Linked DNA regions of Lonchura striata. The protein of the gene in region 2 binds, or shares a complex with, the protein of the main gene of each other region. Links are inferred from orthologs where the notes say so. Each region holds a gene or a part of one and is shown on either strand. Other genes may lie near its edges. The genes, in order: CPSF7 and NUDT21.

What was found.
Region 1: the proteins of NUDT21 (region 2) and CPSF7 are in contact, whole or in part, in a crystal structure (PDB 3N9U), measured with the Homo sapiens proteins. The link is inferred for Lonchura striata from reciprocal best matches to the Homo sapiens genes NUDT21 and CPSF7. Residues at the interface, in NP_008937.1 of Homo sapiens: Arg68, Asn152, Glu154, Pro156, Tyr158, Tyr160, Pro162, Ala163, His164, Ile165, Thr166, Lys167; in NP_001129512.1 of Homo sapiens: Trp91, Trp92, Thr93, Thr94, Asp95, Gln96, Glu112, Lys114, Phe115, Glu117, Asn118, Arg119, Ala120, Asn121, Gly122, Gln123, Ser124.

What each region holds. Positions count from the first base shown.
Region 1 is NC_134608.1:53,679,289-53,694,955, forward strand, and holds the start of CPSF7 (cleavage and polyadenylation specificity factor subunit 7), read left to right. Parts: upstream 1-9,747; 5' UTR 9,748-9,780; intron 9,781-10,306; 5' UTR 10,307-10,373; coding exon 10,374-10,427; intron 10,428-12,800; coding exon 12,801-13,019; intron 13,020-13,460; coding exon 13,461-13,564; intron 13,565-13,810; coding exon 13,811-13,956; intron 13,957-15,178; coding exon 15,179-15,584; intron 15,585-15,658; coding exon 15,659-15,667. Other genes in the region: LRRC10B (leucine-rich repeat-containing protein 10B), read right to left, coding at 3,682-4,530; uncharacterized protein LOC116183767, read right to left, coding at 5,605-5,868, 5,943-6,023, 6,152-6,357, 6,798-7,009, 7,080-7,285; SDHAF2 (succinate dehydrogenase assembly factor 2, mitochondrial), read right to left, coding at 7,926-8,056, 8,137-8,246, 8,971-9,179, 9,662-9,676.
Region 2 is NC_134615.1:15,561,460-15,576,553, reverse strand, and holds the start of NUDT21 (cleavage and polyadenylation specificity factor subunit 5), read left to right. Parts: upstream 1-8,136; 5' UTR 8,137-8,249; coding exon 8,250-8,365; intron 8,366-10,494; coding exon 10,495-10,695; intron 10,696-11,807; coding exon 11,808-11,871; intron 11,872-12,531; coding exon 12,532-12,621; intron 12,622-13,280; coding exon 13,281-13,356; intron 13,357-13,750; coding exon 13,751-13,865; intron 13,866-15,094. Other genes in the region: prolyl 3-hydroxylase OGFOD1, read right to left, coding at 561-722, 1,235-1,293, 2,089-2,211, 2,989-3,284, 3,416-3,495, 3,812-3,925, 4,262-4,387, 5,393-5,484 and 2 more. UniProt on the Homo sapiens protein: Component of the cleavage factor Im (CFIm) complex that functions as an activator of the pre-mRNA 3'-end cleavage and polyadenylation processing required for the maturation of pre-mRNA into functional mRNAs.

The DNA.
Region 1 (15,667 bases), on a different chromosome or scaffold from region 2:
CGGGAGCCCCGTGCCCACCCCTGGGGATAAAGGGTGGAGCGAGCGCTCTTGTCCCCATCGAGGACGGGTGACATTCCCTGGGCTGGTGGCATTCCTTGAGACAGCCAGCCTGGCAGGATCAGTGCCAGCAGCAGCATCCCCACGGAGCCCCGGGATGCACATGCCAGACCCCTTCCCACTCCTTGGGACCCCCAAAAACAGGGACAGACCCACCTGGGAGCCCCACAGGGGTGACAAGGGGGTCGGTGGTGGCTCTCTGTGGCAGACGCCGGATCATCCTCAGTCTTCCTGCTCCCCCCGTGGCAACCTTGGCTCCCAGCAGCTCCCACAGCCCCAATTTAGACGATTTTGGACAATCTGGAGAGAAGTCATAATACTGCTATTACAGTAATAACAACGCTTTTAGGGACATTTGTATTTTTGTCATATTCTCTCTTTTTTTTACATAAAAGAAGAGACTTACATGCCTGGGGAAGAGGTGGCAGAGCCAGGGCTGTGCCAAGCCGGGTGCCCCCCACGGCCCCTCGGGCACCCCGCTTTTCCAGGCTGGATTCCTCGTCCGCGGTCGGGCTCCCCGGGGGTTTGTGTGTTCATTTTTAACTCTAGAGCTCGTAGCCGTGATCTTGTTCAGGTTCTCTCTTCTTCATGTGACGGTAACATCCAACTGGTGTGTAAAAATAAAGAAAAACAGGACAAAAAAAAATTTAAAAAAAGAAACAAAAAAAAAGAAAAAAAGAAAAAAAAAAGATGAAAAATCCAATAAAGAGCCCGGCCCAGCTGAGGAGCGGCTGGAGCAGGGGGTGCCCGGCTGGTGATGCCAGGGATGGGGCACACAGGTCGAGGCGTCTCCTTTGAAGAATCCTATTTTTGGGGAGTGGGGCCCCTCGTTTTCTGGAGGCAGCCCCTGCTCTCAGTAATAAAGGACAGTCAGTAACTGCCAGCATGAGTCATCTGTGGGATTGGGGGAATGCAGGGGGTGGATCCTGGGGTGAGAATGGGGGCACCACACATGGGTGAGCACCACAGTTGAGTTGGGTGGGCATCCCCCCGGCACTGAGCATCCCCCTCACAGCTCCAAGCATCCCCCCTCAGCGTTATCCCTCCCAACCCTGAGCATTTCCACAGTATTATCCAATCCACCACTGAGTATCCCCCCAAAACTCTGGGATCCTGCTGGGATTGGGATCCCCATGGAGGCTTCAGAAACAACAGTGACCCCTGCAGCCTCCTTGGAGCCAAGCGAGCTCCCATCCCATCCAGGTCTGGGCTGAGTTCCTTGGCACGGGATAGGGACTGGAATGTGGCTCCAAAGGGAAGGAAGAGGCAGGGAACCATATTCTGTGTCCTGGTGCCATGGAAAAGGCACTGATGGCTGTTAAATAATTCACAGAATGCTGGTCTTGAATAAATAAATGAAACTTCAGACAGAGGGATGGCAGGACGGCCATCCGTGTTCTCCCTGCCCAGGATAAGATCCCTCTGGATCCACCCTTCAGGCCCCGGGGTGCAGTGTTGGAGGTGGCAGCAGGGGACAACACTGTCCCCTTGCCACCTGCACCCTGGTGGAGAGGAGGTGGCTGCTGCCTATCCCCGCTCCACCTCCAGCTGAGCCAAACCTGGGGAATTTTGGCATTCCCAAGCTGCCGATGGCATTGGTGCCACCAATCCTGGCTCTGCCTGGGCTCTTACACCAACACCGGGCTCCTTTCATCCTCCCAGATCCTTGAAAGCGCAGCGAGCCCGGCGCTCCTGTTGCACGGATCCGCAGCGATTCCCAGTCCCGTTGCCTTGTGCTGGCAGGCAGCGGGAGCAGATGGAAATAGCAGCGTGATCCCAGCTGCGGAGAGGCCACAAATCGTCGCACGCGGGGCCGGGAGAGGAGGCAGGGATATATATATAGGGACAGACGTATGGATGATGCACTGCCGGCAGCGGGGACTCGCCGGTGCCAGCGGCCCCAAAATACTCGAGCGGAGCCGGAATCTGTCAGATTCCCACTGACTGCGGCAGCTCCTGGTCCTGGTGTCACCACCATCGTCACCGGTGCCTGGATCCCAACCCAGCTCCTTGGGAAAAGCTGGGCGGTGAGAAAAGGCTGCAGAGAGGGAGGATCCCCCCTTATCCCATGTGTCAGAGCTCCTGGATCTGGTCCTGGCCATGGGGACAGGCTGGTGGCATCCAAAGCCACCTGCATCACAATTCCTGCCGAACGAGTGGGCTGGCATGGAGCTGGTGGCATCAGATCTTGCCTACATCAGGAGTTTGGAATGCTGAGGGTCTCTGCCAGGGTCAGCACCCTCAGGATCATGGATGATTCCTTGCTAATTGGCAGCAGTGTCTTCCCAGATAAAGCAGCAGCACCCTGGATCGATGGCATGAAGGGGTGGGAGACACCCAGAATTCCAGGAGCATGTTCCTGGGATGTCGTGGGATCCTGGATTGCTCTGCCCTACAGTGACGGGTACCTGAGTGGGCAAAGGGATCAACAACCTGTACCTATTGGGAAGATCTGATTCAAAGCTCCTGCTAAGCCCCAAATCCCTGAAATTACCCCGGAGGAGCTGGCACTGACAGCTCCTGCACATCCCGCAGCTGAGGAAGCTCCATGTGTCCAAAATAGCCGTGGTTCCTGCTGCGGAATAGGAAGCGGAGGGAAAAACCGGCAGCATCCGCCCTGCCAGTGCCGGAGCGGATGTGGCCGGAGTTCTGGCTGCCTCCCAGCCCCAAACCCAAATCCATGGCCTTTAAAAGCGGATGTGTGGTTTGAAACCTCCAATGAATGAGCTTCAGACCTCGGATCCCCAAGCTTTCCACCACACGGGCTCAGCTCGGGGATGGGCGGAGGGAATCAGGATTCCTTGGATGTCCAAAATAAGAGGAGCTGGTGGTTGCACACCAGGATATGTCACTTGGTTTTAGGGGATCCCAAATAAACCCTTCCCTGAGGCTGGTCCCCACCACTATTCTCTCACAACAAATTCCTCGGATTTGTGCTTTTTATTGCTTGTGTTTGGTCCAAGAGGCACTTGGAGAGAGGAAGAGGAAGGATAAGGTGTCAACCCTGGATCTGGTGTCTGTTTTGGGACAGACAGTGCCAGGGATGAGCCTCCTCTTCCCACAGAGGCAAAACCCTGTTCTGGTTGGAGACAGGCAGTGCTTCAACCCAGGTGGAATTTCCAAACCTGATGGTCAGGAGGAACCTGGTGGAAAATCTCTCCCCCAGCTCAGTTCCAGCAGCAGGATGGGGTTCTCAGGGTCTGTGCCCTTGTTCCCAGACCTTGGAGCTCTCCAGGATGATGGGATCAATGGAATGGATGCAACCAGCAGTGCTTTTTCCTGTGCTGCCCATTGGGATAGGAGTAAAGGATTTTCAGAGGTGGAGGAGTAGAAATGTTCCCATTCTTGTGGGGTGGCAGTGGGGGATCACCCTTAAGGGTAGGGGGTTGTATCCCAATCCAAGACATCCTGGAGTAGGTGGGATGCTCTCAGGTGAGATAACCATTAGGATCGATGAGCCCTGTTGATCCAGCACAAAACACTGCTGCCCCAACTGGATAAGGCTGATCCTTAGACCCTTGTTTTTCCTTTGTGGAGGCTGTGAACTTCCTCCTTTCTCAGCCCTAGATGGGAATTCCTTGGAAGACAGATGGAGGCTCTGCACCCCTTGAGGGGGACAGCAGCTCACGTTTCCTCAGGAGATCCCGTCAGGGCTGCAAATTCCCCCTCCCCATCCTCCGGCCCATCCTCGGGGGATACCGGGGCGGCCTCGGTGCCCTCCTCCTCCTCCTCCTGGCGCTGCAGGCTCTGCAGCCGCTCCTGCCGCGCTTCCATGTATTCCTGCGCCCCGTCCCCCACCAGCTGCACTTCATCCCCGACGCAGGGCGGCTGCCGGACGGGATTGTGGTCGTAGGACAGGAGGCGCAGGGAAGCGAGGCCGGTGAGGTCCGGGAAGCTGGCGATGCGGTTGCGATCCAGGTCGAGGACGCGGATGTGATCCATGCGCAGCAGCACGGGCGGGAACTCCTGGAAGCGGTTCCCGTAGAGCCAGAGCCCCCGCAGGCCGGCCATGCGGGGCAGCGCCGCGGGCAGCCGGCTCAGCCGGTTGTCCCCCAGCTGGAGGCTGCGCAGCTCCGGCAGCTGCAGGAGAGCGCGGGGGAAGTGCGCCAAGAAGTTTCCCTCGATCCAGAGGCAGCGCAGGCTCTGGAGCTGGGCGAAGGAGGGCGGCAGCCCCTGCAGCCCGTTGCGGCCCAGGTACAGGTGCGCCAGGTGGGGCAGGTCGCACACGGCCTCGGGCACCTCCATCAGCTCGTTGCCGTCCAGAGCGAGGGTCCGCAGGTGCTGCAGCTCCGCCAGCTCGTCCGGGACCTCCCGCAGCCCCGCGTCGCTCAGGTAGAGCTTCCGCAGCCCCTGCTGAGCCCACAGCTCGGCCGGGACCTGCCGGCCCCGCACCTCCAGCCGCTGCTCGACGCCGTCGGGGCCCTCGGCTGCCGCCAGCCGAGCCCCACGCCCCGCGGAGCCGCCGCTGCCCATCGCTCACCGGGACCGGCACCGGGACCGGCACCGGGACCTGCACCGGACCCGGCGGGGGGAGGGCGACGCCGTAGCCATGGCAACGCGCCGCGGCCAATGGGAGCCCGCGTCGCTGGGCGGAGGCCACGCCCCCTGCCCATTCATGCCCCGCCCCGCCGTTCGCGCCCGTTTAGGCCACGCCCCCTGGTCATTCACGCCCCGCCCCGCCGTTCGCGCCCATTTAGGCCACGCCCCTGCCCATTCATGCCCCGCCCCGCCGTTCGCGCCCGTTTAGGCCACGCCCCCTGCCCATTCACGCCCCGCCCCGCCGTTCGCGCCCGTTTAGGCCACGCCCACGGGGTCCATTCACGCCCCGCCCCGCCGTTCTCACGCCTACCCGGCCCCGTTCCTGTCCCGCTTGTCCCGGCTCTGTCCCCAAACCAGGCAGAATTCCCTCGCACCCCAGCATTCCCAGCCCCTCTTCCAGCAGCTTGGCATCAGCGCCCTCAGCCTGAACTGGGTGTGAGGCTCTAAACTGAGTGTGGGGTCCCTGGGCTGGGTGGGAATCCACAGCTCCCTGAGCTGTGTGTGGATGCCTTGACGGGGTGGGGGTCCTTGAACTGGTGTACAATCCCTCTGTGATTCCTCAGATCCCCTGGGACCCTGCCGGGAGCCACTCCTTAGGGCACAGATCCCCTTCCCCATGGCCAGGGAAGATATGGATGAAGCCTCTCCAAGTGCCCCCCGTGCCATGGCTGCCCACCCTGCGGGGTCCTTCATCCTCCTCATCCTCCTGCTTCCCACCATAGCCCTGCCTGGATTTTCCTGCCGCAAATCAGCTGTGTCATCCCAAAGCCGGCTGGGAAAGCTGGAAAGCCGAGCTCCTACAGCCCTCCAGCGGCAGCTGGCCAGGTGACAGCCCCCAACCACCCAAACCCCTCCTGCCAGGTTTTGGGATGCAGGAAACCCCCAAAATGGGCGAACAATTCAATGGCATTGCACAGGGTTTTTATTCCTCCTAGGGAGATTTGGGAAAAGCCGAGGATGGGACTCCCAGGATGCAGCAGCACTTTTGCAGGGGGTCACGTCAGGGGGTCATCGATGCGCCACAGGTTGGTGGGCTGGTTGTTGGTGCTGAAGCCACTGGGACTTGGGATCTGGATGCCCTCCACGGATCTCGGGGCCCAGGTGATTGGAGGCTGTGCCCACCAGCCTGGAAAATCCAGGAGGGATTGGTGAAGGGGGTGTCCACTCCTCTGGGGGCTGTGATCTCCCCCCCGACTCACCTGGTGCTACGGGGGCCAGCGGCGAGAGATTGGTCAGGTACTGGTTGTGGACAGTGCTGTATGCCAACGGCTCCTGAGGGATGCAGCGGGTTGGGAGCATGATTCCTTGGGAAAAGGGATGGGGACAGGGGACATGGCTGCACCCACCTTCCAGGTAGTGACTCCCTTGGGTCCCACTTGCAGCTCCGGCGGGGCGAAGGGGGCGGGATGGCCCATGGCAGGTTGGGGCTGTGTGGGAACACAGGGATGATCCTGCTCATTCCCGTGCCCAGGCAGCTGCCTCAGAGCCCACTGGGAGCAGTGGGAGCACCAGGACAGGACGTCCCCTGCCCTTGCCACCCTCTCCCTTTGCTTACAATGCTGCATTTGGCAGGAACGGAATCCATCCGACCATCACCAACATCAAGCTGTGGGAGAGGAAAAGTGTCCCCTGGGGTGCTGAGGGGTGGGGGGACAGGGGACATGATGGGCACGGGGCTCACGGGCTGCTCTGGCATGGTGAGGCCGCTCCTCTGGGTGGTCCCGGTGCAGCCCGACAGCTCCGTCGCCCTCGGTGGGACATCTGTGGGGAGCAGATGGAGCAGGGATGTCCCCTGTGTCCCCAGGCCTGGCATTACCTGGATACACCTGTCCCACTGTGTTTGGGGGGGAGCAGGGAGTCTCCAACACTCCCCAAACCTCCTGAGGTCTGACCTGACTCCAGGAACACTGACACCCCAAAATCCCTCGAGCTGGCTGTGGCTCTGGCACCATCAATAATCCCAAAACATTCCTGATGTTGGAGCTGGACCCGGAACCCTCAGGGCCCCAAATCCTCCTGTGGTTGGAGGTTTCCTAGGAATCCTAACACCCCAAAATCTTCATAAAGACAGAGCTTTCTCTGGGATCACCAAGACCCCAGAATCTCCTGGGAATGAAGCTTTCACCAGGATCTCAACACCCCAAAACCCTCCTACTAAGGCTGGAGCTTTCCCTGGGATTCCCAAGACCCCAGAATCATACCTGGCTTGGCAGGACTGGCGCAGTGGCTCTGGATGCCATATTCCCCAGATCTTTTTGGGGCTCTCACCTCCCCGAAACGGAGGCGGGAAAAGGAGAAGTCAGTAGGACACCGACACCCCGGCTCATGCACATGCTCGGGCAACATCCTTTGGTATTCCGGGCGCCCGAAGACCTTGAAGTCCTCGGAGGTGGTGGACACGTCCGTGTCCTGGCTGCGGTGGGAATGGCTGTGATGGAGTGATCCCAAAACGAGCCCCCCAGACTCCTGCAGCAGGGACCTACCGCTCCACGTGCGGGGAGATCAGGGGTCCCAGTGCCGAGTAGTTGTTGGTGACGTATCCCGAGCCGGTGTGGATGCCGAGGAGGGGGTGCATGCTCCTGTCACCGGGGGGCTCAATCCCCAAAACACGGCCCTTCTCCAACTTTTGGGGTGACCCTGTGGGCCTCTTCCCGAAGGCCACCTCGTAGGAGGTGATGTAGAAGCCCATGAGCTCAGAGGGGGGGCCCCCTCACCATGGGGAACCCCGTCCCCAACCCCGCGGCGGGCGAGTCCTGCGGCAGGGACGGCATCCTGGCTCTGGGAATGGACCCCTGGAGCTGGGAATGGCCCTACGCCATGGCTGGAGGTGTCTGGAGGTGTGGGGCCCTCCCAGCAGACCCGGAAGCTGTGGAATGTGCCCGTGGAATGCACTCTATCTCCCGGTAACCGTCGCGGGGACCTCCCGGGAGGTTGTCACTGGAGGGCAGGAGGTCGGACAACCTCCTGGGTGTCCTGGAGGGCACCAGGAATGCCCCACTCCAGCTCCACTACGGCCCCCACACGGGGTTGGGCTCACCTCCAGGGGGTCCTGGGAAAAGGGGCAGGTGGGAACTGGGAGTATCAATGAGGTGGCATGTGCCAGGATCGACCTGGGAATGTCCCCGAGGGCCTGACCCCAATGTCACAAAGCAGGAGAGGGGCAGGGCCAGCAGCCAGGCAAAGCCGGTAGCCAGGGCTTTATTCAGCATTCCACGAGTGTCCAAAGGCTGCTGGGAGAGGAGGAAAATCTCAGGGAAGGTGGAAACGCCATTCCAGAGCCCCATGTCCCTGCGCTACTCCAGGGAACGGGGACAGAGGCATCCCCTCCCTCAGCGTGGTGGCTCAAACAGGTATTCCAGGTCCGGCTGCCGGAGCCTCTGCTCCCTGTTCCTGTTTTTGGCAAATTCCCTCAGCATGGCCATCACATCGGTGTCGAACTCCGTTGGCGTGGGCTTCGCTTCTGGAGGGAAAACAGGGAAGAATCAGCCGTGTGCTGTCCCACGGCGCCATGCCGGTGTCCCGGGGCGTGGCCACACGTACCAGTGGCCCAGTAATAAATGTCCCAGTCGTTACTGGGCTCGTTGATGAGGCGGTCGTAGCGATTCAGCTGCTCCTCGCTCATGTGCGCCAGGTTTTCCTTGGCAAAGAGGCTGGAGAGGGGTGGATCAGGGTGAGCGGGAGATGAAGGAAGAGCTGGGATATAAGAACCAGCTCAATGTGAACCTGGAAAACACAGACCCCCAGCCCGCTCTCCCTCACCTCAGCGGGTGGGAAAACACCGTCAGAGGAGCTGTGGAATCTCCACCCCTGGAATCCCCTTATCCAGCCTGCTCTGGTGGAAGGTGTCCCTGCCCACAGCAGGGGGTGAAACTGGATGATCCTTAAGTCCCTTCCATCCCGAACCATTCCAGGATTCCATGGGCTTGTTCACATGAGATATTGGGAAGAGATTCTTTCCTTGAGAGGGTGGCGAGGCCCTGGAATGGACTTCCCAGAGAATCTGTGGCTACCTGGAAGTGTGTTGCCTACCCTGCAAGTGTCCAAGCCACGTTGGACAGGGCTTGAAGAAACCAGGAATAGTGTAAGGTGTCCTTGAGGTCCTTTCCCACTCAAATCATTCCAGAATTCCACAATTCTATGTGTCTAATCTCTCCTTCAATCCCAAAATCCAACTGACATTGCATTCACATGTCCCACAATTTACATACATCCTTCCCAAAGGACTTTGGCTCACTGAGCTCTCCCAGCTCTACTCCATCATTGCATCCTGGATCAGCAAGACCTTGGAGCAATTTATCCCAAGGATTTTTGCAGTACCTCCATGAACTCTGCCTTGTTAATGAAAGGACCTGGAATACTCAGAGCCAAGCCCACCTGAGTAAGATGCAGTTTTCCAGCATGCCCCTTTTCCTGCTCTCATACAGCAGCCGGGCTCTCTTGGTGTCCAGTGGCTCGTCCAGACGCTCCTGCCAGGGGGGCAGCGGGATCTCCAGCACATCCTTCCCGGAATCCGTGGGGGAATCCCCCCGGTAGCCGCGCTGCGGGATCAGCGGCCACAGGAGATGCCGGCGCAGGGAGCAGAGCTGGAGGGAAAGCACAGGGATATCAGGACTGGGTGTGCCTGCACACAGGGACCTCTCCAAATCCTACTGGACACGATTCCCAATCCCACACCCCCAAACCCCGCTGCCCAGACCCCATAAATCCCCCAGACCTCCCTTTTCCCCCCAGATCCCCTTTTGTCTCCTCAGACTCTTCTCCTTTTTTTCTCCCCTCTTCCCACAATACGCTAATTTTCCTCCCGTCCTACCCTTCTCCCAAACTCATCCCTTTTCCCCTACTTTTCCTTTCCCCTCTCTCTCCTTTTCCCCCCTTTCCCTCCCTTTTCCCCTTTCCCCTTTCTTTTCCCCCTTTCCCAACGTTTTTCCCCTCTCCTTCCCCTTCTACCCCCTATTTACCCTTTTCCTCCCATTTTAACCTGCTTTTTCCGCTCTCCCTCCGTTCTCTCCCTTTGTACCCCTCTCCCTTCCCTCAGCCCTCCCAGCTTCCCCCCCTTCCCCCCCACCCTGGCCGCCGCCATCTTGCCGCGCGCCGCCGTGGCCACGCCCCCTCGCGGCTCTATGGGGCGGGGCGTGCCGGAAGTGGGCGTGGCCCCGCCCGGAAGTGGGCGCGGCGGCGCTGGCGGTGAGCGCGGGCGGCGCGCGCGGGGCTGGGATCGGGGGAGGGGGGGGCCCCGGGCGGGGGGCGCGACCTATCGCGACATATCGCGACCCGCCGCCCCCTCCCCTCACATCCCTCTGCCCACAAACCCCCCGGCCCGGGCCCCGCCGCTCCGCAGGGCCGCATATGGCGGGGACGGGGCGGCGCGAAAAGGGGGGGGGGGGGCAGTGGGGGATCGTGGGGAGCACAGGGAATTTGGGGGGAATCGGGGATTTGGGGGGGAGACACGATATGCAGGGACAGAAGGATCTGAGGGAACACGGGGTTTGGAGGGAAATGGGATTTGGGGGGACACAGGGATTTAGGGGGAAGAGGGGATTTGAGAGGCAGGGCGGATTTAGGGGGTAGAAGGGATTTGGAGGGAAGACAGGATTTAGGGGGACACAGGGACTGGGGTGGGGAAATGGGATTTGGGGCACACGGGGATTTGGGGGGACGCCCCCAGCAGGTCCCCAAGGCCTCACTGACCCGCTGCCCCCCCCCTCCCCAGAGCACCCTCCGTGTCCTGGCTCCGCCCGGTCCCAGCCCGGGCTCCCGCTTTTCCCGCCTCTGGAAATATGTCCGAGGGAGTGGATCTGATTGACATCTACGCCGACGAGGAGTTCACCCAGGTGAGGGCTGGGATAGGGGGGAGATCCCCCCTTTCTTTTGGGAAGAGATCCCAGTGTCCTGCAGCTCATCCCAGTGGAAGATGCAACTGGTGTGGCTGGGAAAAGGGAAGGATCATTCCCGATCATTCCCAAGTCTCTGTGGTTGCCACCTCCAGCTGTGATTAAAGGGTTTCCCTGTGGCTTGTGACACGTGGCTGGTCACGGAATGTTTAGGATTTAAGAGCTTAGCTGTGTCCTGGTTGGAAAAATGAGAAATCCCAGCTGGAAGAGGCACTTCTAGGGAATTTCGCTGTGAGGGAATACCAGGAGCCAAATCCATGGGATCACCTAGGCTGGGAATCTGTGCAGGAGCTCGCTGTTCCTGTGCTGCTTGTCCCATCCCAGGAATATCTGGGATTCAGAGGAAATGATGAAGGAAAGGGATGTTGGAGAAGCAGATTTTAGGGAGTTCATGGTTATGGGAAAGCAAGTGCAAAGGCAGATGTTGGAAAATTCAAAACTGCCATGGAAAGCTTGTGGAAGCAAGAGAAGTCATGGAAACTGGAAGCAAAGCACCCAGAAGAAGGAATCACCATGGAGAAAGGAATTCCTGTGAACTCCTGGAGTGATCAAGAGAAGCTTCTTCTGGTTATTGGGTGAGAATATCCCATGGAATCTCCTGTGAAGACCAAGTGGACAGAGGATCCTCAAAGCTGGAATGATGATCCAGGCCAATGACTCTGGCATGTTCCTCCCTTTGGGATGTGTGTCAGGAGAACACCTGGAATTAATCCATGCCAGGATCAAAGCAGCAGGGAAGTACTGTGGTGTCCCTGGGGCACTCCAGAGATGCCAGTGTAATTCCAAATCCCACATTCCCACGTGGTGATTCCCACTAACAGTGCCCAGCTTCATCCCTGTGCACCTCAACTCAGTGTGCATGGATGGGGATCAGGAGAATCCCTAAAATCTCCCAAGCTGCATCCCATAAAAGTAGCAGAACTGAGGGATTCCAAGGGATTCTTTCTCTAGCCCCTCCTTCATATTTTTGGTCTTGACTTTCTGAAACTTCCAGGTGGGAATCTTCCAGCCTTGGGCTGTGTCCAAAGGCTCCTGGTGGAGGTGGGAGCGTGGGAGTTGGATTAACCAAACACTTGAGCTTCTCTGGGAAACGAACACAAAACTACAGCTCCCTTTTCAAGTCATTCTTTTATCAGCTCCAGGGAAAGAACTGGATGCAAAAGTTCAGGGAGAGGAAAAATGGTTGGATGTTTGGATTCCCGGGCTTCCACTATCCTTGGAAAGCTGCCTGCTGAGCATCCTTCTCTGTCCAGCTCCCAAGAGGATGTTTGCAATTCCCTGACCCTCAGACTGTCTCCAGCAAAAAATATTGTCTAAACTGCCTGGAATTGAAAATCTGGGAGCAGAACCTCTGGTTTTTATGGCACACCAGCTCCTGTGGGATGGATCCTCATGGAGTGATTTTGTGGGATGAAACATTTGGCACAATCTGAACAAGGAACTGGGATCCATAGTAAACACAGCACTTGCTGGACAATCCAAACAGTGGGAATTGGGAGGCAGATCTAGGACATGCTGGAATTCCCAGCTCTGAAACTTCCTGAGTTCCTCTGCCAAAGGGACAGATCCAATTTGTGGGAGCTCCTACCCTAAAAAGGGCTTTTTTCCCAAAAATAAGGAAGTTTGGGGGGCTGGGCATAGTTTGAGGGGGTTATGCAATTCCCAAGTTGGAGTTTTGGGAAGAATGTGTTGCCAAGGAGTGATAGGCTCAGCCCTGGAGGACATTTGGTTTTCCACCACTGAATTCTTGCCCTCCAAATTGGGAATTTCTTCCTGGTGGCAGCAATAGGGTCTTGTCCTGTTGTGTGGGATCCAAGCGGGCTGGTCTTTGGAATGTGCTGGAGCTCAGTGGGGGTTTAGATGAGATACTGGGAAGAATTTCTTCCCTGTGACGATGGTGAGACCCTGGAATAGATTTCCCAGGGAAACTGTGGCTGCTCCATCCCTGGAAGTGATCCAGGCCAGGTTGGACAGGGCTTGGAGCAACCTGGGATAGTGGAAGGTGTCCCATGGCAGGGGGTGGGATGGGATGATCCTTAAGGTTCTTATTCCAAACCCAACAATTCTAACCCCAAATTCTGTTTTCATGATTCCATGAAAACAGACATGAAAACAGAAGCATCATCCTGTTTTTTGGGATTGTCCAGGCAAGGGATGGCTGTAATTCCCAAGCGTGCACAGACCCAAACCAAGTGATTTGGGCCTTAAACCTTTGGACTCAGCTTGGAAATTCCACTTGGGAATTGGAACAGCAGGTTTGGAAAGAGCAAAGAAGGCTTCCCAAGCCAGGATCTCATGACGTTTTCCCAGCAGGACCCGGAGTTCAGTAATGCTGACCAGATGGATCTCTACGACGACGTGTTAGCAGCCAGCTCTCAGCCCCAGGAAAAGCGTTCCAGCAGCTCGGAAGCACCTCCGGAGATCCGTCAGGAGCCGTCTCCCAAGCCCAACAGCAAACCCCCAGCCATCCTGTACACCTACAGCGGGCTCCGGAACAAGAGGGCTGCAGTCTACATCGGGAGCTTCTCCTGGGTGAGTTCATCGTCCTGAGAAATTTGGGATTCCTGGTGAACCTCTGAGGGGCTGCTGGGCTCTCTAGGGAAGTGGCAGGGATTTTGAAGGGCCTGCTCCTCCTCAGTTTCAGCTGGTCTCCCGAGCTGGGCTTGGCTTTGTGATCCTCAGGGAAAAGGAATTTGTATCCCTGAGGAGCTTCTGGGCTGGGGTATGTGCTGATGTCCCTTTGAAGCTGTGACTTTGGGCTGCTGCTCCTGAGTCACCTTCTTCTGTTCAGGGATGCAGGAATGTTTTTGGGAAGGCTCTGTCTTGTCCAGAGAACTTGTTGCTGTTATCCATTCCCAAAGCTTGTTCCGGATGATTTTAAGGTCCCTGAGGAAGTCTGGGGGTGACATTCATCAGTTGGGTGGGGGATACTGGGGACAGACATGGATACCAGCCTGTTCCCTATGCCCTCAGTGGACTACTGACCAGCAGCTGATCCAGACCATCCGCTCCGTTGGAGTCTACGACGTGGTGGAGCTGAAATTCGCGGAGAACCGAGCCAATGGCCAATCCAAGGGGTAAGAGCCAGTGGAATTTCAGGTGGGAATGGCAGGAGCCAGGTCCTCATTGCCACATCCGTTGTTTTGTGGAGGGTGAGAGAGCAGCTGGTGCTTCTCTGGCCTGGCACAGGGAATTCATGGAGCATCCCAAAAAGCATGGAAAAGTGAGGAGGGGGTGTGGAACAGCAGGATGGGATCAGAAGGAGGGTCTGGGGGGTATCTCTGCAGCAGGTTCAAGGCTCAACCTCCCTCTCTCCCACGCAGGTACGCGGAGGTGGTGGTCGCCTCCGAGAACTCAGTCCATAAACTCCTGGAGCTGCTTCCCGGAAAGATCCTGAACGGAGACAAGGTGGAGGTGAGGCTGGCGACCCGGCAGAACCTGTCGCAGTTCGAGGCTCAGGCTCGCAAACGTGAGTGCGGCGCCGGTGAGGTGGGTGGGGGGTTCCATCTCACACACATCCCAAATTCCCCCCCGGATCAGCTGCCAGGCCCAGCCCAGCGAGCCCTCGGGATGGGGGGAGACCCTGCCAGGAGCGTCTGGGGGTTGTTTTTCCTATTCCTGAGCCGGATTAGCTCCTGACCCGAGTCTTTATGATCCCCTTTTAGGTGCTCCCACACTGCGAAGATCCCTCGTAGCCTCCTCCTCCTCCTCTCCAAACTGAATGGGCTTAAGCTCTTCAGGCTCTCAGCATAGCTAAGACCCTCCATATCTATTAGTAGCTCCTCTCTGGATCTGCTCCAGAATTTTTCCATCCCTGCGGAGGTAAGGTGCCCAACACTGGAGGAATATTCCAGCTGGGGCCTGGCCGTGGGCGTCCCTCAATGGCAATAGGTGGTCCTGGCCTCACTCCGCAGCGATGCGACGGGATCCGCAGGGATTGTCCTGGCAGGAGCGTGTCCGAGGAGGTCTTGGCCAGCTCTGGTCGTTGTAGATCCCTTGGCATGTTTTGTGCAAGGAAAACTCCCCCTTCCCAGCAGAGTTGCTTCGCTCCTTTCCTTTGGCTTAGGTGCCCGAGGGGATCGGCTGCTTGGTGCTTAGGCTGTGTCCCAACTTGCCCTGCAGTTTTGGTGGAGCAGGGAGTGTTCTCTGGGCCGAGTTCCGGCTGCCCCCAGGGGAGAATGGAGCTCCTGTGCACCCTTTGGCACTGCTGGGAGCCGTGGCTCCTGTCACACCCCTTCTTGTCTCATCCTCAAAGCCTCTTTGGATAGAACAAGGCTTCTTCACCCTCTTGGAATGCTGAGTTTTCCTTCCTCTAGCAGCAGCTCCGTTGCTGTCAGCACTTGGGTTCTGTCCCCTCGTGCTCCTCCATGCTTGGACCTCTCCAAATCCATGTGTGGATCTCAGGCTCTCCGGGTCTTTGGATGTCTTTGGGGATTTCTCACCATTCCTTGTTGCTTTTGGCTCCTGTCCCTGTGACCTGCCTGTCCCCAGGGCACTGTGTGGGGTCTTGCTGGAAAGCTGGGCTCCTCTTGGAAAAACACATGGAAGTGGAGGCTATGCGTGGCCGGCTGGATCTCTCTCTGGGCACCTCCAGCCCTCCAGGGGTGGGAGGAAGAGGAGGAGCAGGAGGTCTCGGAGACCCGGACACCCTCCAGCTGCACCTCACAGGCCTTTCCCCGTGCCACTTCCAGGTGTGCCGCCGCGGGCCCACTCCCGGGATTCCGTGGATGCGGTGGATGGCCGGGCGACGCCGACAGAGAACGCGCTGCCCCCTGCCCGCATGGAGAAGCCTCCCTCGGTCCTGCCCTTCTTCAGCCGCCCCCCCGCGCTGCCCCTCATGGGGCTACCCCCCCCTCCCATGCCCCCTCCGCCTCCCCTGTCCTCTGCTTTCGGAGTCCCTCCTCCTCCTCCTGGAATTCCCTACCAGCACCTGCTGCCGCCGCCGCCCCGGCTGCCCCCACCCCTGGCCGTGCCCCCGCCAGGGGCTGTGCCCCCTGCCCTGCACCTCAATCCCGCCTTCTTCCCACCACCCACCGCCGCCCTGGGACCCCCTCCGGACACCTACGGCAAGGCCATGGCTCCCTACAACCACAGCAGGTGAGCTGGGCGGGAATGGGGTTGGGATGCTCGGGGAGGATCCCGCTGAACCCCTGTTCCCGCTGTGCCGACAGCCGGGAGCT
Region 2 (15,094 bases):
TGCTCCTTGTTATGGTGCCAAGTGCTACCCAATGCCTTTATAGCCTCACTGTCTTCCTTCCCAATTCCACAGAGTTGTGCAGCTGGAAAAACCTCATATTTCCCATGGTGGCTCCTTTATTTTTGTCTTAGGAACACAGTTAAGCCCCAGAAAATGTCTTGGGCATTTTCTAACAAAACTTGTCTGACCAGTGTATGAAAAAACTGACACGTTTCCTTTTTTTTTTTTTAATAAAATCAGTCAGCAGCTTGGGGCAATGGACAGTTGTAATTCTCACTCTGATGGGTCAGAGATGCCACTGTGCTGCTCCCATGAGAAAACAGCTGGCAAGTTGTGTGACAACCACAGAGCCTTAAAAGCCGTTGAGAGTGTGTTACAATGGACACAGGATAAGTCTGATTTTCCTTTTTTGCAGTTAAAAAAACCACCTGCCCCCCCCCCCCCCCCTCCATTAAGCAGTGTGATTGAATTGCATGAGCAAAGTTTGTCAGCTTAATGTCTGGGTAGGAACCTGTCCACCACCCACTACTCTTCTCTGTGACAGTGGTCATACTACACCATCACTCATAATAGACGAAGGAAAAATCCCAAAATCCTGTTCTGTTTGGATGCTTGTTCAGGCGTGCCAAGCTTCGATGGTTGATGTATTTCACAAACTTCATAGTTTCTTTGTCTCTATAAACTAAGGCCAAGCAGTTCTCCTCTGGATTCACTGTCAACAGCTAGGGAATACAAAGATAAGGAAGTAAATCAATTTCACAAAAATAGCTTTAATAAAATTCTTCAGAAAAAACAAAACTGTTTCAAAAGTTAGTTAGAACAAAGGGTTGGTGTTAGAAAATGCACTGTGACACTATTTTCATTTTAATACCCTTTACCTGAAGCATTGTTATACATTAAGGGCTTCTAGTACTGATGCTGAATGGGATCCCAGTGAACAGCACTTCCCTGGGCAAGTGTTATCCCTGCTACAGCCTTGTGTCCCTTCCAGGCAGGCTTCCCAAACAGCCCCAGGTGCAGGTACCATGAGGCTCTCTCAGGGCCCAGGTCTCATGCTTTGTGTTAACAAAGCTCTGAGGCCAGAGCTTTGCCCACGAGCAGCGACTGGGGCAGGGAGGCTCCAGTGCGCAACTGAGCGCCCTCAGCACTATGCTGGCATTAAGACAAAGTGTAATTATGTCTCTCCACCCTATACAGTTTCATCTGATTTGCAGCTAGCTACTGAGGTCCTTACCTCTTCATCTTCACCTTTAGCAATGTAGGAAGTAAAGCCACCATATTCAGGATCCCACTCTTAAAATAGAAAAGAAACATTCTTAGAAACCACAGTGCTGTTCATGCTCCACACAGCCTTCCAGGAGATGCCATTTTTCACCTTGCTCTCCAAAGTTACTGGATACAGGGTAAGTATTTACCTCCTGCCAGTCTATTTGTTTTCTTCTGTTCAGAAACAACTTGAAGCAAGTGTACTGGATTTGCCTTTTATGGTAGATGAGCTATTTAAAGTTGCTTGGTGCACCGCTCCTCACCTGTAGAACAGTTCTACCCTAGCAGATATACCAAAGGATTTCAGTCAGCTGTACATTTTGGCCTCATCTGGTCTAAAATGCTTGTGGTTAATTTTTTTTTTTTTTTTTTTTGTTTTACCACTATCTAACTAGCAATCAACCCAAAATGCCTAGGTATGCCTAAAGTAACTTTTGAAAACGTTGACCTTTGTGAACTGGACGTGTAGTAATAATTCTGATGAGAAAAGGGTAGAACACTCCTGGTGGGTACTGTGGCCACCTGAGCCTGCAGCGCACCCAGAGCCATTGCTCAGCCTTTCCCCCTGTCCAAGCGCCACCTCCTGGCGCAAGCGGAAAGGCCAGAGATGATTCCAAGGCCACAATCCCAAACTTTTCCATGAGGACTACTGGAAACAGGGTTTATGCCGAAGTGAGGACTAAGACAAAGTCTACAGAAACCTTCTATGCAGGAAAAAGCAGGGAAATTTTGTGTGTTTTAGAACTGCTGACCACTCAGAAGTCATTCCTTTATGCAAGTCTTGTGAAAGGAGAGTCTGACATCTCTCTCTCATCCACTTACCTTCACAGCCACAAAAGAAGAGCAGATCAAGAGCAAATTCTGTGGCTTGAGAATCATGGACAAGAGTGTAGTGCCCGTGGGTCCAGCGTCGCAGCTCCCCCGCACACACAGGAGTTCCTGAGCCTAGGAGAGGGCACAAACACCCAAGGGAGAGCCATGAAGGCACATCAGCTGAGCTCAAAGCGTGTGAGGAGCTCAGTGATCTCACACCACTGTGAGATTTGCTCCATACATCCTTTGGTCCTGGTAACTGCTCTGATGGGATTTTTTAAGTAGGACTTGTTTTTATATTACCTTTTATTCCAGTGTCCACTAACTTGTCTTAGTGCAAGATGAGCATTTTCAAAAACTCTACCTTTAAACTTCAGAGCCACTCTTTTAAATAAACATCATCAATCAAAACCCAAAATTAATCTAATCTTTCATAGTTGTCACTGCTGACAACTAAATTCAACTAAGGTTGTTTAGGCTGATGGTGTTTTCTGAAAGGTTGAATCCTAGTTTTAGGTATCAATTTTCTAATTCTAAAATGGTTTTACTTCTGACCTGTTCACCTGTCTCTTTTGGATTTATTATCTCATACAAGAATATGCTTTATATGACGTAGGGGTACATGGATGTAGAAACCATGTAACTATTGACAGAAGATGAGCAGTCCCCCCAAAAGTCCCACCCTTAGGACTTAGGTCTGTTCAAAATGGCATCTTCAAATTATCATTGATTTACTCCAAATTCTTTTGCAATGGTCACTGATTTCAGATAATCAGTCTAAAAAGCTTCAAGTCCTATGTTTGTGCTGGTTGCACAAACAAGGTGAAACAAACTAGGTGAAGCACTAGTTCCATGAAAATCACTGGGAATTTTGTTTGAATCCTTTTTCACTGCTGCTGCTCTACTCACTGCTCTGAGTCTCGCCATCCTGTGCTTCAGGGGTGTTCTCAGGCTGGTGTGGCTGATGGGGATTGCCATTGGCTCGTTGTTCAGTCTCTTCCTGCTCAGATTTGGGACTGCTTTGCCCACTGGTGTCTGCTGCTTGTCCCTCCCCAGCATCTTCATCCTCATCAGAGGGAGCCAGGAAGTGCAGTTTTAGGCCAGTGAAGTTGGAAAGCAATAAAAATAAGGCCTCAGAGCGAAGTAGCTGCAGGAATTTCTTCAGGGTGTCAGGGAGGCTGTGTTCCTCTGCTGCCTCATAGAGTCTGAAAGACAGCAGATGTATCTCCTTGTGGGAGAGCCAACAAGGACCACATCTATAACAATAGCACTGACCAGTGCAGCCTCCTGGCAGCTCCTGCTCAGCACACTGGTGCAGCGTGCTGTCATTCCCCACCTTTTATTGGCTGGCCCTCGACTACTCCAGTGGATCTCTTTGTTCTCCAATGCTTCACATAGTAGTTGGTACTTCTCTTTCTAGGAGAAAGAGATGCAGAAATGTTAACATTTAGCTCCTAAGAAAACAAGGTTGAAGACAAGTGATCTATTTTTGCTGAGTCCTGATGCAGTGGTTTACAGGCAGTCAGAGGGGATAATTCCACAGAATCAGAGTGGTTTTTGGTTGGAAAGAGCCTCTGGAGGTCACCTGTCCATTTTTAGGTGTGAAACTTAGAAGGTGTTTTGTTTTAATGGATGTGCAAGGAAGTCCTCTCCCAGCCTTCGTGCCATGTAGTACCTGCCAGCCCTCTGACCAGTTCTGGCAGATCACATCAAATTCAACCACTGGGCTCACCTTAAGAAAGTCTTTCAGGAGAATTTCTGATCGCTCCTCAAATTCCTCCTGGATTTGAGCTTGGGAGTCCAGGTCCAAATAAACTTGATTGATCCACTCATACAATATTTCATGCTGGAAGGGAAATGGATTAGAACACTGAATTTTCAGAAGTGAAGAAGATTCCCTAATTCCTCCTACTGAGCTGGCCACAGAGCTGGATTCCTACACACAAACACACTCCATTGCTTTATTTCCTTGCACCACAGGTATTCACCACATTCTCTGAACTACTGTAGGTATGCAAAACATACAAAGATGCCTAAGAAAGAAACTGGATACAAATTTATCAACAGGAAATGAAAAGGAGAATGGGATAAAGATTAAAGCATCCCCAGTGCATTGATGCATTCCCCAACAGGTATTACAGGAACAGGACAGAGACAGAAATGCAGATATACTGTTACTCACATCATAGGGGATGTGTGGGCTTCTGGCCAAGGGGGCTTCAATGTGCCGTGCAGGTCTGGCCACAGGCGAGCCGTGGAACCAACCACTCACTGACAGGCGGCACTTCTGCGACACAACTTCTGACACCTGCAACAACGGCGGGCAGCACGTCACGGGTCAGACCAGGCGTAACCAGTGCCAAGCAAATTCATAACAGGAGATGGACTCTGCTCCAGAGAGCCCACTGCACACACAGGTATGTCAGACAGATTATCAGAGAGAGGCCTATTGTCCTGAAGTCCATTGCAGGTTTCCAGAATTCCAGTCTAAGCTTTTACTCCAAGTTCACAGAGAATGCATTCTCTCTCTTACTCTGGGAGATTTGAGTAATGGATTTTTAAGACAAAATTAAACCCAAGTAGATGCTGCTCTTAATTAACAACTGTAAGACATAAATGACACAAAAACAGACCCCTAAGTGGCCTATGTCAGGACATGCCCAACCTATATCACTGATCATCTTCCTCCCCAGCCTTCTGCTCTCTGGCCTTGTTTGATGTCCCTGGTACTCTCAGGTACACAGGAGTGTCAGATTTCAGTCAGGTGTTTGTGTCATGCAGCTCCCCAAATTATTCATCCTGTTCCCAGGCTTCTTCCCGACAAGTGTCACAGAGTATTCCTTAACTGTATCAGCATTTCTGCTGCAGGGTACTGCACCATGTCTGTGCCACTGAGGGTGTACAGCCAGATCTGCAAAGTGCCCTTGCACTGTTGGCAAGGTGATGAATGGCCTGAGGAGCTCTTCTGGAGCAAAGTCATGACCACTACATCAAAAATGTGAGCTAGTTTAAAACAAGCTAACAAACAAGCGAGAGCTAAATTCAAAGCAGTGGCTTGCCACGATAGTAACACAAAATAGAAATGGAAATTTTTCTTTCACAGGATGATGCAGCTAGACTGATGGTTTAAAGTTGGCTTTGTTGGTTCTTGTCCTCCTTCAAGTCCTTGAAGCCCTTCTTTAGCACACAGCACTTAGCACAAGTATCCACTCTACCCACCATTCTTCTCTCTCCCCATCAGGACAGTAATAACACACAGAATGAATAACCACAACAATGAGGATTAAAAAGTTAACAAGAGAACGCTCCTTGCCTGATGGAAAGAGACTGGAGACACTTCAAAGAAAACCAGTGTGTTCCATGAAGGCACTAATGACTTGGTGATTTGCTGTGGCTGAAAGTGTTCTGAAGAAGAAAACATACTCTGGTTAAGAAAGGAACTGGGACTTCTCTCTGACAACATGATTCTGTGACTGGTGGGACACCTGGGTATAAGGCATGGAGCTCAGAGCAAGGGCTTGGTGAGGAATCAGTGCATCTCTGCATGGAGACAGGAAGACAGAGTTGGGGCTGTTCAGCTTGGAGAAGAGAAGGTTCTAGGGTAACCTAAAGCCTCTTCCAGTACCAAAAGGAGCTACCAAGAGTGCTGTAGAAGGAGTTAGGACAGACATGGCATGGAATAACAGAACAAGGGAGAATGGCTTGAAACAAAGGGTGTGTTTAGATCAGCTATTAGAAAGAAATTCTTCACTGTGAGCAGTGAGGCACTGGCACAGGTTGCCCAGAGAAAGTGTGGATGCCCCATCCTATAAATGCTCAGTGGGGTTTGTAGCATCCTGGTCTAGCAGACCATGTCCCTGCCTACAGCAGGCGGGCTGGAACAAGATGAGCTTTAAGATCTCTTCCAACCCAAACCATTCTGCGGTTCTGCTGCTGGAAAGGGAAGTTTTTGTCATCAGTCTGGAGTTCCAAGCACATTTACTGGCATCACTTCCATCTTGCCTCTACTCCTGACCCCTCCAAAAGTTTGTCTGCTGTTGCCTGTCTGCAAAGCCTATCCCTAAGGGGCACACTTTACATCAGCTTCTCCGAACAAAGGAGAAACTCCTTATTTCCCTTCTACTGTTTGGGGTGAGAGTTGCTGCAAGGGGCACATAAGCTTCATCTCCTTCATCTATCTGAGGCTGAGCTTGGAGCTTTTACCATCTGTGCTGTACAGATCCAATGTTCCCCCGTCACTTTTCTCCCAGGGTGGGACGAGGTATAGGATGAAAGCGATTCTCCGACCTTCCAGTTCATCATCGTGGCACAGCAAGACATCTGCAATTACACATGTTTTGCTGCTGTAGCATCTTTCCAGTACATGCATCATTCATGCCAACAACTGCTTCCCAGCTTTGTCCCCGCAAGGATACGACAAGAAAAAACATGTTCTTTCTAAGAACTACATTTTCACTCATTGGCATCAGCAGCCTGAAATCTGCAAGATTCACTTCTGTGGGACTGCACTGCAATTGACAGATCAGGCCACTCTGAAGGTACAGGCAGTTATACACCAGCAACAGTTGTTTCATCATTTGTACTTCATTTTCACAGTTTTGCTGTTGACAGCCTCTAGGACCCTCTGGAACTAGCATACAAGTAGGTGTTCTATAGACGTTTTGTTCCCTACACATACACAGAAGCTCTAGGGAAAGGATCACTTAGAGACTGACCAGTATATTCATATTTAGCACAGGATATGTCAATAGTTGGCTCCAGCACTATCTGGGTCACATCAGAAAGCCACACTTGGAATTCTTCACACAGTGCATGCCTGAGAAAATAAGCACACAGTAAGTGTCCTATGTTATAAAACATATAATCATAGACTAAATTAATGTATTGCCTCCCTGCTAACTGTTTAAATGGTTACAGGTGCTGTTGCTGTGAGTGACAGTGTGTTTCTGTAGGATCACACTGGCCAAGAAAACAGCCCCGTGCTCACAGCACTGCTGGCAATAATCAGCAGCAAACATGCAACCAGTGGGAAGGTGCACTGTGAAGCTTGTCAGAGGTGACAGCTGCAGGAGAGCTGAATATGGATGAAAGCTGAATAGACTTCATTGCCCATGACAAGCACAGAGCAGATCCAGCTCTCCACAGCCGGTTTTTGGCCCGAGTATGGGGGCAGAAGGCGGCCCACCCCGCTTTCGCTGTGGAGCCAGCACGGCTCTCCCCCCACCCTGAGCGGGCAAAGCCCCGAGCCCGCGCTTCACCTCAGGGCAGCGACGTGGGGCTCCGGGCTTGCCCCCAGCTCCTCGGACTGCGCGGCCCATGGAAGAGAAGGGACGGGGTTAGCGTGGCTCGGCCCGGCCCAGCCCGGCCCGGCTCAGCCCGGCCCCGGGCCCACCTGCCGCAGCGACAGGAGGTCGTTCCGCCGCCCGCGGAAGCCGAGGCCCAGCAGTTCATCCCGCAGCGCCTCCGCGAAAGCCGGGTCCGCCAGGAAACCGGGAATGACACCGTGCCGGAACGGGGCCGGCTCCAGCACCACCGCTTCTGCAAGGGAAAGGCCGTCGGTGAGGGGCGGGGAGCCGGGCCGGGCTGTACCGTGCCGGAGCCGCTCCCCGCGGGCCCGGCCGGACCGTGCCGTGCTGTACCGTACCGTGCCGGAGCGGCTCCCCGCGGGCCCGGCCGGACCGTGCCGGAGCCGCTCCCCGCGGGCCCGGCCGGACCGTGCCGTGCTGTACCGTACCGTGCCGGAGCCGCTCCCCGCGGCCCGGCCGGACCGTGCCGTGCTGTACCGTACCGTGCCGGAGCCGCTCCCCGCGGGCCCAGGCCGCCCCCGCGCGCTCCCGCAGCGCCGCGTCCCCGAGGGCCGCGCTCAGCTCCGCGCGCGCCTCGCGCCTCCCGCGCTTGGCCGCCGCCGGCGCCGCCGCTCCGTGACGCTTGGCGGCCATGGTACCGTCCGGCCGGACTACAACTCCCTGCGGCCCCCGCGCTTCGCCAGCGATGGCCAATCGTATCGTGCGGGGAGCCGTTGGCCAATGAGCGGGAGGGGCGGGGCCGGCGCGGCGGGTCCCAGCAGGCGGCGCGGCGCTGAGGGCTGGGCGGGCGTTAATGGCGGACGGCGCTCCCGCCGCCCAGAAGTGATTGAGCGCTCCCGCCGCCTGTTCCCGTCGCTTCTCGCCATGTCCGTGGTGCCGCCCAACCGCTCTCAGACCGGCTGGCCCCGCGGGGTGAACCAGTTCGGGAACAAGTACATCCAGCAGACGAAGCCGCTCACGCTGGAAAGGACCATCAACCTGTGAGCGCCGCCTCGGGCCTGTCCGGCTCTGCCCCCGCCGTCCCGCCCCGCTGGCGAGCTCATCCCCGCTCCCTCGGCAGGCTCGGCGGGATTTTCCTTCCGATTCCGCCGTGCGAGGTCCGGAGGGTCCTGGCCCTTCGGAGGGCTGGGGCACAGCGGTGGCAGAGCCCGAGTGCCGATGGGGCCCGCCCCCCTCACAGGGGCTGCTGAGCCGCGCTGAGGGTACCGAGGGCTTGCCGGCCTTCGTGGGAATGTGGAGGATTTGGTGTAAATGTTTTAGTGCTTAGAAGTAGCGTCTGGCTCGGGAGTTGTGAACCCCAAGTAACACAGGAAAGGTCTAGGTGTGGTGAGCATCACAGACGTTTTCTTGCTCTCACAGGCATCCGGAAAGACGGCAGAGAGAGACAGGGTCTTAGCCTCGCTGGGGTTTGAGCTGATCCTGGGCAGTCAGTGGGATGTGGCTGGATGTGCCTGGTGATTGTGGATTATCTGGCACAGGTGTTGGAGATAAAATTCGGAGTGTTTCCTACCACAGAAATTTGTAATAGAGACAAACTACTTACTAATAAGTATTAATGTATTTTTTATGAGAAGTCATATATTTTTGCTTCTTCCAGTAAATCTGGTGGATTTGGGACGTGTTCTTTGCTATGTGCATATATCAAATTGCAAAAACCAGCAAATGGTAGCTGTAACAGTCAATATTTAATTTTAGCTATTAATCACTGACACTTTTGTGTTTTTTTGTGTAGCTGAGTTTATTCACAGAGTCATGTGGAAGTTCAAATATGAACTTCAGAAACTGCAATATTTCTATCGGGTTTCTGAAGCAAAGACTCATAATGAAGCTGTGTTACCAGCAGCATTTTTTTTAAGTTGAAGCTGAGGGTTTTGATGTACAGACTAATGCATCCACATTAGTATAGTATGGGTTAGCTTAATAGGTTATTATTAAAGTAATTTGTGTATCTAAGAATGGAAATGAAGAGAGAAAGAAATGTAGATGGTTTTAGACTATAAGTAAAAGTGGGGGAGCTTGTTAGTAAATGAACCTGTGGTTTGGAAGCTAGTTGTTTTGTCTACATGAGAAAAGGCTCCAACAATGGTAACTGGCTTGTTATTTTAACCACTGTAAAACATTAGGAAAATTGGAGGAAGAGGAGGGCTGGAATTTGAGGAGAGAAGAGCGTATGCTACTAAAGTTTGACATGTCTGGGGAAGGAATCCATGCCAAGAAGCATCTCAAGGAAAACATAAGACAGTCATTCATTCTGTTAATTCCATTGCTGTGTGCCACAAGTCAGTAAAACCATGGTGATAACTCATCGCTGCTCTGCCCAGAACCATTTTCTTCTCCCTTTTGACTTAGCTGGGTGATTCTGTCTTTCCTCCAGGCCTCCTGCCACCAGACCTCTCTGTTAAATGGATTTAATTGTACAATAGCACTCCCCTGTTGCCCTCTTGCTGTCTTGGGCTGACCCATTTCTTGCCTAACCTTTCCTTTCTTTGTTTTCAGAAATCGACAAGTTTCCACTGCACTGTTACAGGAGTGCAGGCACCCAGCACCAGCCCAACAGAGGGATCTGCTCACACTCTTGATCCTACCCTAGGTTCCCAACCCTGTACTCAGAAACTCAGCATGTCTCCTCTTCTGTGATCCACATGTCTGATTTCCCACTTCAAAACAAAACCACTTCTAACAGTTTAGTTCTCAGGCTTCATTATATCTGCAGAAGAAAACCTGCAGTCCTGTGCAGCTTCCTTCCTTCCCAGGAGAGCTTTTTCTCCAGTCTCTTTTCCAGCTCCTAGCAGAGTTTCACCTGCCTTTTCCCTGCAGCATGGAGATCAAAGAGGGTGGCTGTTGAACAACAGTTGGTTCTGTGCTTCTTTTCCTTCTTTTGAGCCTACACCAGGCTAGAGTGCAGCTCAACAGGACTGTCTGTGCTTATTTGTTCTATAGTGCAGATCTCCCTGGGACAGGGGCCTCATAAGCCACCAACAAAGATTTTTAGCCCTGCACTATGACTTTACCCATCAAGCAGTGAAGGATCTGTCTCAGGGTAGATGCTGTGTCATGGTGATTTAAAGTTAGATTTCTTGTTACGCAGTAACATTTTTTCTCCTTACAGGTATCCTCTGACGAATTACACGTTTGGTACAAAGGAGCCTCTGTATGAGAAGGACAGTTCCGTGGCAGCTCGGTTTCAGCGCATGAGAGAAGAGTTTGACAAGATTGGCATGAGGCGGACAGTGGAAGGAGTTCTGATTGTGCATGAGCACAGGCTGCCCCATGTGCTGTTACTGCAGCTGGGTACAACTTTTTTCAAGCTGTAAGTGTCTGTTTCCTAAGTGTAACTGCAGTTTATTGTCACAAACCAGTAAATGTGGGCTAGAGGTTAAAAGACATAGTTGGAAAGTATTTTTTGAATGGTGTGGTTTCAATCTAAAGTGTGTTTGACTCTGCTTGTGAGGGGGATGATTTAGTTTGGAACTGACTGGGAATCTTAGTTACAGTGCATCACTACAGTAAAATCTTGTTTAAAAATCATTACCAGCACTTGATGTGTTGTACTTGCATTGTGAAAGCTGCAATGCTTCAGTCGCTTATGCTGTGCCTGTAAAAATGGGCAAGTGGAGGCCAAGGACTAACCCCCTGTAAATGCAGAATGATACCTGCTTACAAACTAATAGCTGAGCTGGGATAGCAAGAAAGGTAGGCATCTAAATCTGAGAAAATTGCTTCAGTTCATCTCATAGTTATCACAGCCAGACTGAAGTTCTAGTGATTGCATACAGATGTAGTGATGGTGGTGATTTTATTTTTTATACTAGATGGCCTTGACTTGTCTCATGTTACCATGCTTGTGTTCTTGTTCTTCTGTTTTAACATTTTAGATTGTTCTCAATTTTGTGTGTATGTTAAGTAATTTAACTAATCTAGATTAGTTTTTGGCATCTTGATTTGAAGGGCTGTTGCAGACTAGACAAGAATGTAAACAATTTGCAAAATGCTGTAATGATGAAAATTAATAATCCTGCATAATTTTCCCACATGAGTTTTATTTTCTGCTTTCTCTATGCTTCAGTTAGTGCTGGCTTTGTGATAAGAACAAATACAGGCAGTATTTACAGCCCTTCAGCTTCTGGTTATTATTATTAAAACTTTACCCTATAAGGGACTGAGTTTTTATCATGTGTATTGTTATAGTTTGTCCTGCTGAACTGAAAGTATTTTATGTAATGGTTATTTTTTATGGGATGTAAATAGCCATTTTAATTTCAGTTGAGGTGAAAGCTATGCTGCTGTCTTTCAATTCAGCAAAACTAGATCTCTAACTCCTAACTTAAGAGCCATAAGCCTGGAAGCACACTGGAACTTGGCTGTGAAGATTGGTAAATGCAATAAAATAACTTTGACTTTCATCATTGATTATTTTAACAGACCTGGTGGTGAACTCAATCCAGGAGAAGATGAGGTGGAAGGGCTCAAACGCTTAATGACAGAGGTCTGTTTTCTGTCATTATATTGCTGTAGGAGAATGTTGCATTATTTTAGAATTACCAGAATAAGATAAAGATTAGAGTAGTCTTCTTACCATTGTTGTTATTTTGTTGCTTTTGTGATGTTCTCAGGTAGTTAACAAATAAAGCAGTCAAGTTTTCATTTATCTGCATCATGAGTGTGGCTGACTCCTACCTGCTGCTCAAGTCCTGTGTTCATTTGCAGCTTTGCTTTCTGACTGGCTTCAGGCAAGTGAGTGTAGAGATGAGCAATAAAATATATTGTGGAGGACAGCTGTTGGGGACTTGCCTTTGAGATAGTCCTCTCAATGCACCATTTTCTCCAAGTAGCTAAATTAATTCTGCTAGCTAATGTAACAATGTATTGCATTCTTCCAATTGGTCTGATAGGACTCAGTCCAGCTGAGTACAGCATAGATTTTTGAAAAGCTTTCTAGAGTGTCCTGGTCTTACCAGGTGAAGCTTTTACTGAAAAATCTCACTTTATATAAAAATACTCTACAGTTCTATTGAAAGCTGTCTCAGAGCAGTTATGAACTACATCAGACATATATTGCAGTAAGTCTTTCTGTTTCTAGTATGTGTTTAATAAAAGAATTTCCTTGAGGTAGTTTGAGGTCTGATTAGTACTAGATTTTTGATAGATACTGGGTCGTCAGGATGGTGTTCAGCAAGACTGGGTGATTGATGACTGCATTGGCAACTGGTGGAGACCAAACTTTGAACCTCCACAGGTGAGTACTCCCGTGGGCTTCCATCTTCTTTGGTCAAGTTCTGTCTGTACTTCTAAAAGCCTTCAACCTTCCAGATGGGCTTCTTGAGTACCTGCTGCATGAGCAATTTGTTTTTCTGGGTTTTGTCTATTTCATCTCCTTTCTATGACTGAAGAGAAACTACAGCCTTTTTTTTTAATGGAAATTCCTGTCTTCCTTCTCACACCTGTCCTGATGGATGAGAAACCACTAGATGTAGTAGCTTCCAGTTCTACATTGAGACATATGCACCATTTATATTCCTTTTGTAGCCACAATGGAGATTCTTGTACTGCTGCTTGTGGAACATGCCCTAGTCTCACTACCCTATTTCTAAGGGCTTTAATATTGAAAATCTTTGTTTAGTTTGCTTAGTTTGCTTTTATGCATTTCTGTTTTATTGGGTTGTTTTAACTGCTTATGATATTGATGCCACTTTAGAGCCTGTCAATAGTTGTGACAGCAACAGCATTCCTTTCCTAAGTACTTTCTTATGAAAATGGTTTTATTTGATGCCATGAAAGAATAATATATGACACACTGAAAACTTGTACAGGGCTTGATAATTTATAAAGTAGCATTTAAGATTACATAGTATTTTCAAAGCTCTGTACAACTGTTTTTTACCATTTTTCTTCTAGTATCCATATATCCCAGCTCATATTACAAAGCCAAAAGAACACAAAAAGCTATTTTTGGTCCAGCTTCAAGAAAAGGGTAAGTGTTTGTTTGGATCAAAGGGTTGTATTTGTAACAATATTTAAATGCCTGCATTTCACTCAAGGAACACAAAGTTGTGATTGTGTATGTTGTGGTATGTTATACCAAGATGTGTATGCTTGCAGTTGTTTGTGGTTGATCACTAACAAAGTTAAATGCTGGTATTTGTTTTGAAGGTAGATGATCCTTTGAACATGACTTCCTAGTAAATTTTTATTCCTGCTTGCATCAGTCTGTGTACAGGATGTGAATCCCATATTTAACTAAAAAAGCAATAAACCTGGTTGAGTGCTCTATGTAGTGAACTTGTTTTGAGGTCTGTGGGGAATGATGATCCCTTGGCTGAATGTGTGCTGGTTTTTTTGATTCATCAACTTGTATTTGTTTTTAGCTTTGTTTGCAGTCCCCAAAAATTACAAGCTGGTTGCTGCACCACTGTTTGAGCTCTATGACAACGCACCAGGATATGGACCTATTATTTCCAGCCTTCCTCAACTTTTGAGCAGGTATGTTGTATTTGTATAGTGGCTCTGGGAACATGGTTTCCTGTGGGACACCAGAGCAAAGCAAGGTGCTACAGAAACCAACTTGAAAAGGTGGCATCTATCCCAAAGATTCTGCTTCAGATGAACTGCATGGACACTTTTGAGGCACTGATCACAACTGGCTAGCACCAAAGTCCTACCTAGCAGCTGTAGTTAAGGAACACATGGAAGATGTGAGGATGAGGCTGTGCACAGACTGAGGAGCAGCTTCTTGTAGTTGTTGGAGACAGCTGGAGAGTTAAAGCCAGGATGTAAATTTGAAGCACTGAGTTAGGTATGCATATTATCACAGCTTTGTGCTGGTTAAATGTGGTGGGTTTTTTTACACTCTTTAGTAGAGCTAATGAAGTGTAGCATCTTTATGACACAAATATCTGTAGGGACAGCTGTATTTTTTCCTTTCTCTTGGAATGTATACCATGCTTTGACTTTATTACCTGGGAATGGCTGTGGCTTGTCTCTCCAGAGCTCACTGGTCTCTTACTTGAGAGCATGTTCAGGCATACTAGGAGTCCCACAGCCTGCCAGCTCTTCCTCAGGGAAGTAGTTCTGTCACCTACCTACTATGATGAAAAAAGTATGTTAGCACTGGTCTTGCACATAATCTTATTTCCTGCTGAGTATTTTTCTCTCTAGCCCAAATTTTGGCTTCCCCTCCTCTAAAGACAGCAGGTATTTCCTCTTGAGTACCAGCCAAACTGTCATGCAGGTTGGGTAGTGGTGCAACAGACACATGCAAAGGCTGGGCACCTGGAAGCTGAGATGGATTGCTTGCTTCCACAGTTATTTATGAAACTTAGCTGGGAAAAATTCTCTCTTCAGTATGTTTGTGTGTTCCCCTTGGAACATGTAAGGTTGGTCTAGTAGCAGAAGTGCTGCAAAAGAGTTGCTGATGGAGGAATGTAACTCTCACTGTGATTTATGTATCTGTGACCTTGTTTTAGGACATGAAATGTTAATAGTTAGTTCTTCTCAAACCATAAGAGACAGTTGTGCAATGCTAGTGTAGGATTGGCTGTTAAAAATGATATATATACTGCTATACTGTAAAGCTGTCTTATGAAAAAATGTACTTTTGTCCTGTCAGGTGGAGGCTTATCCAGAGCAAAAACAAAACATTTGCTTATTCATTCAAAAATGCCCTTAAAAAAAAGAATCAAAATTCCTCACTTGGTATAATCCTTTTAATT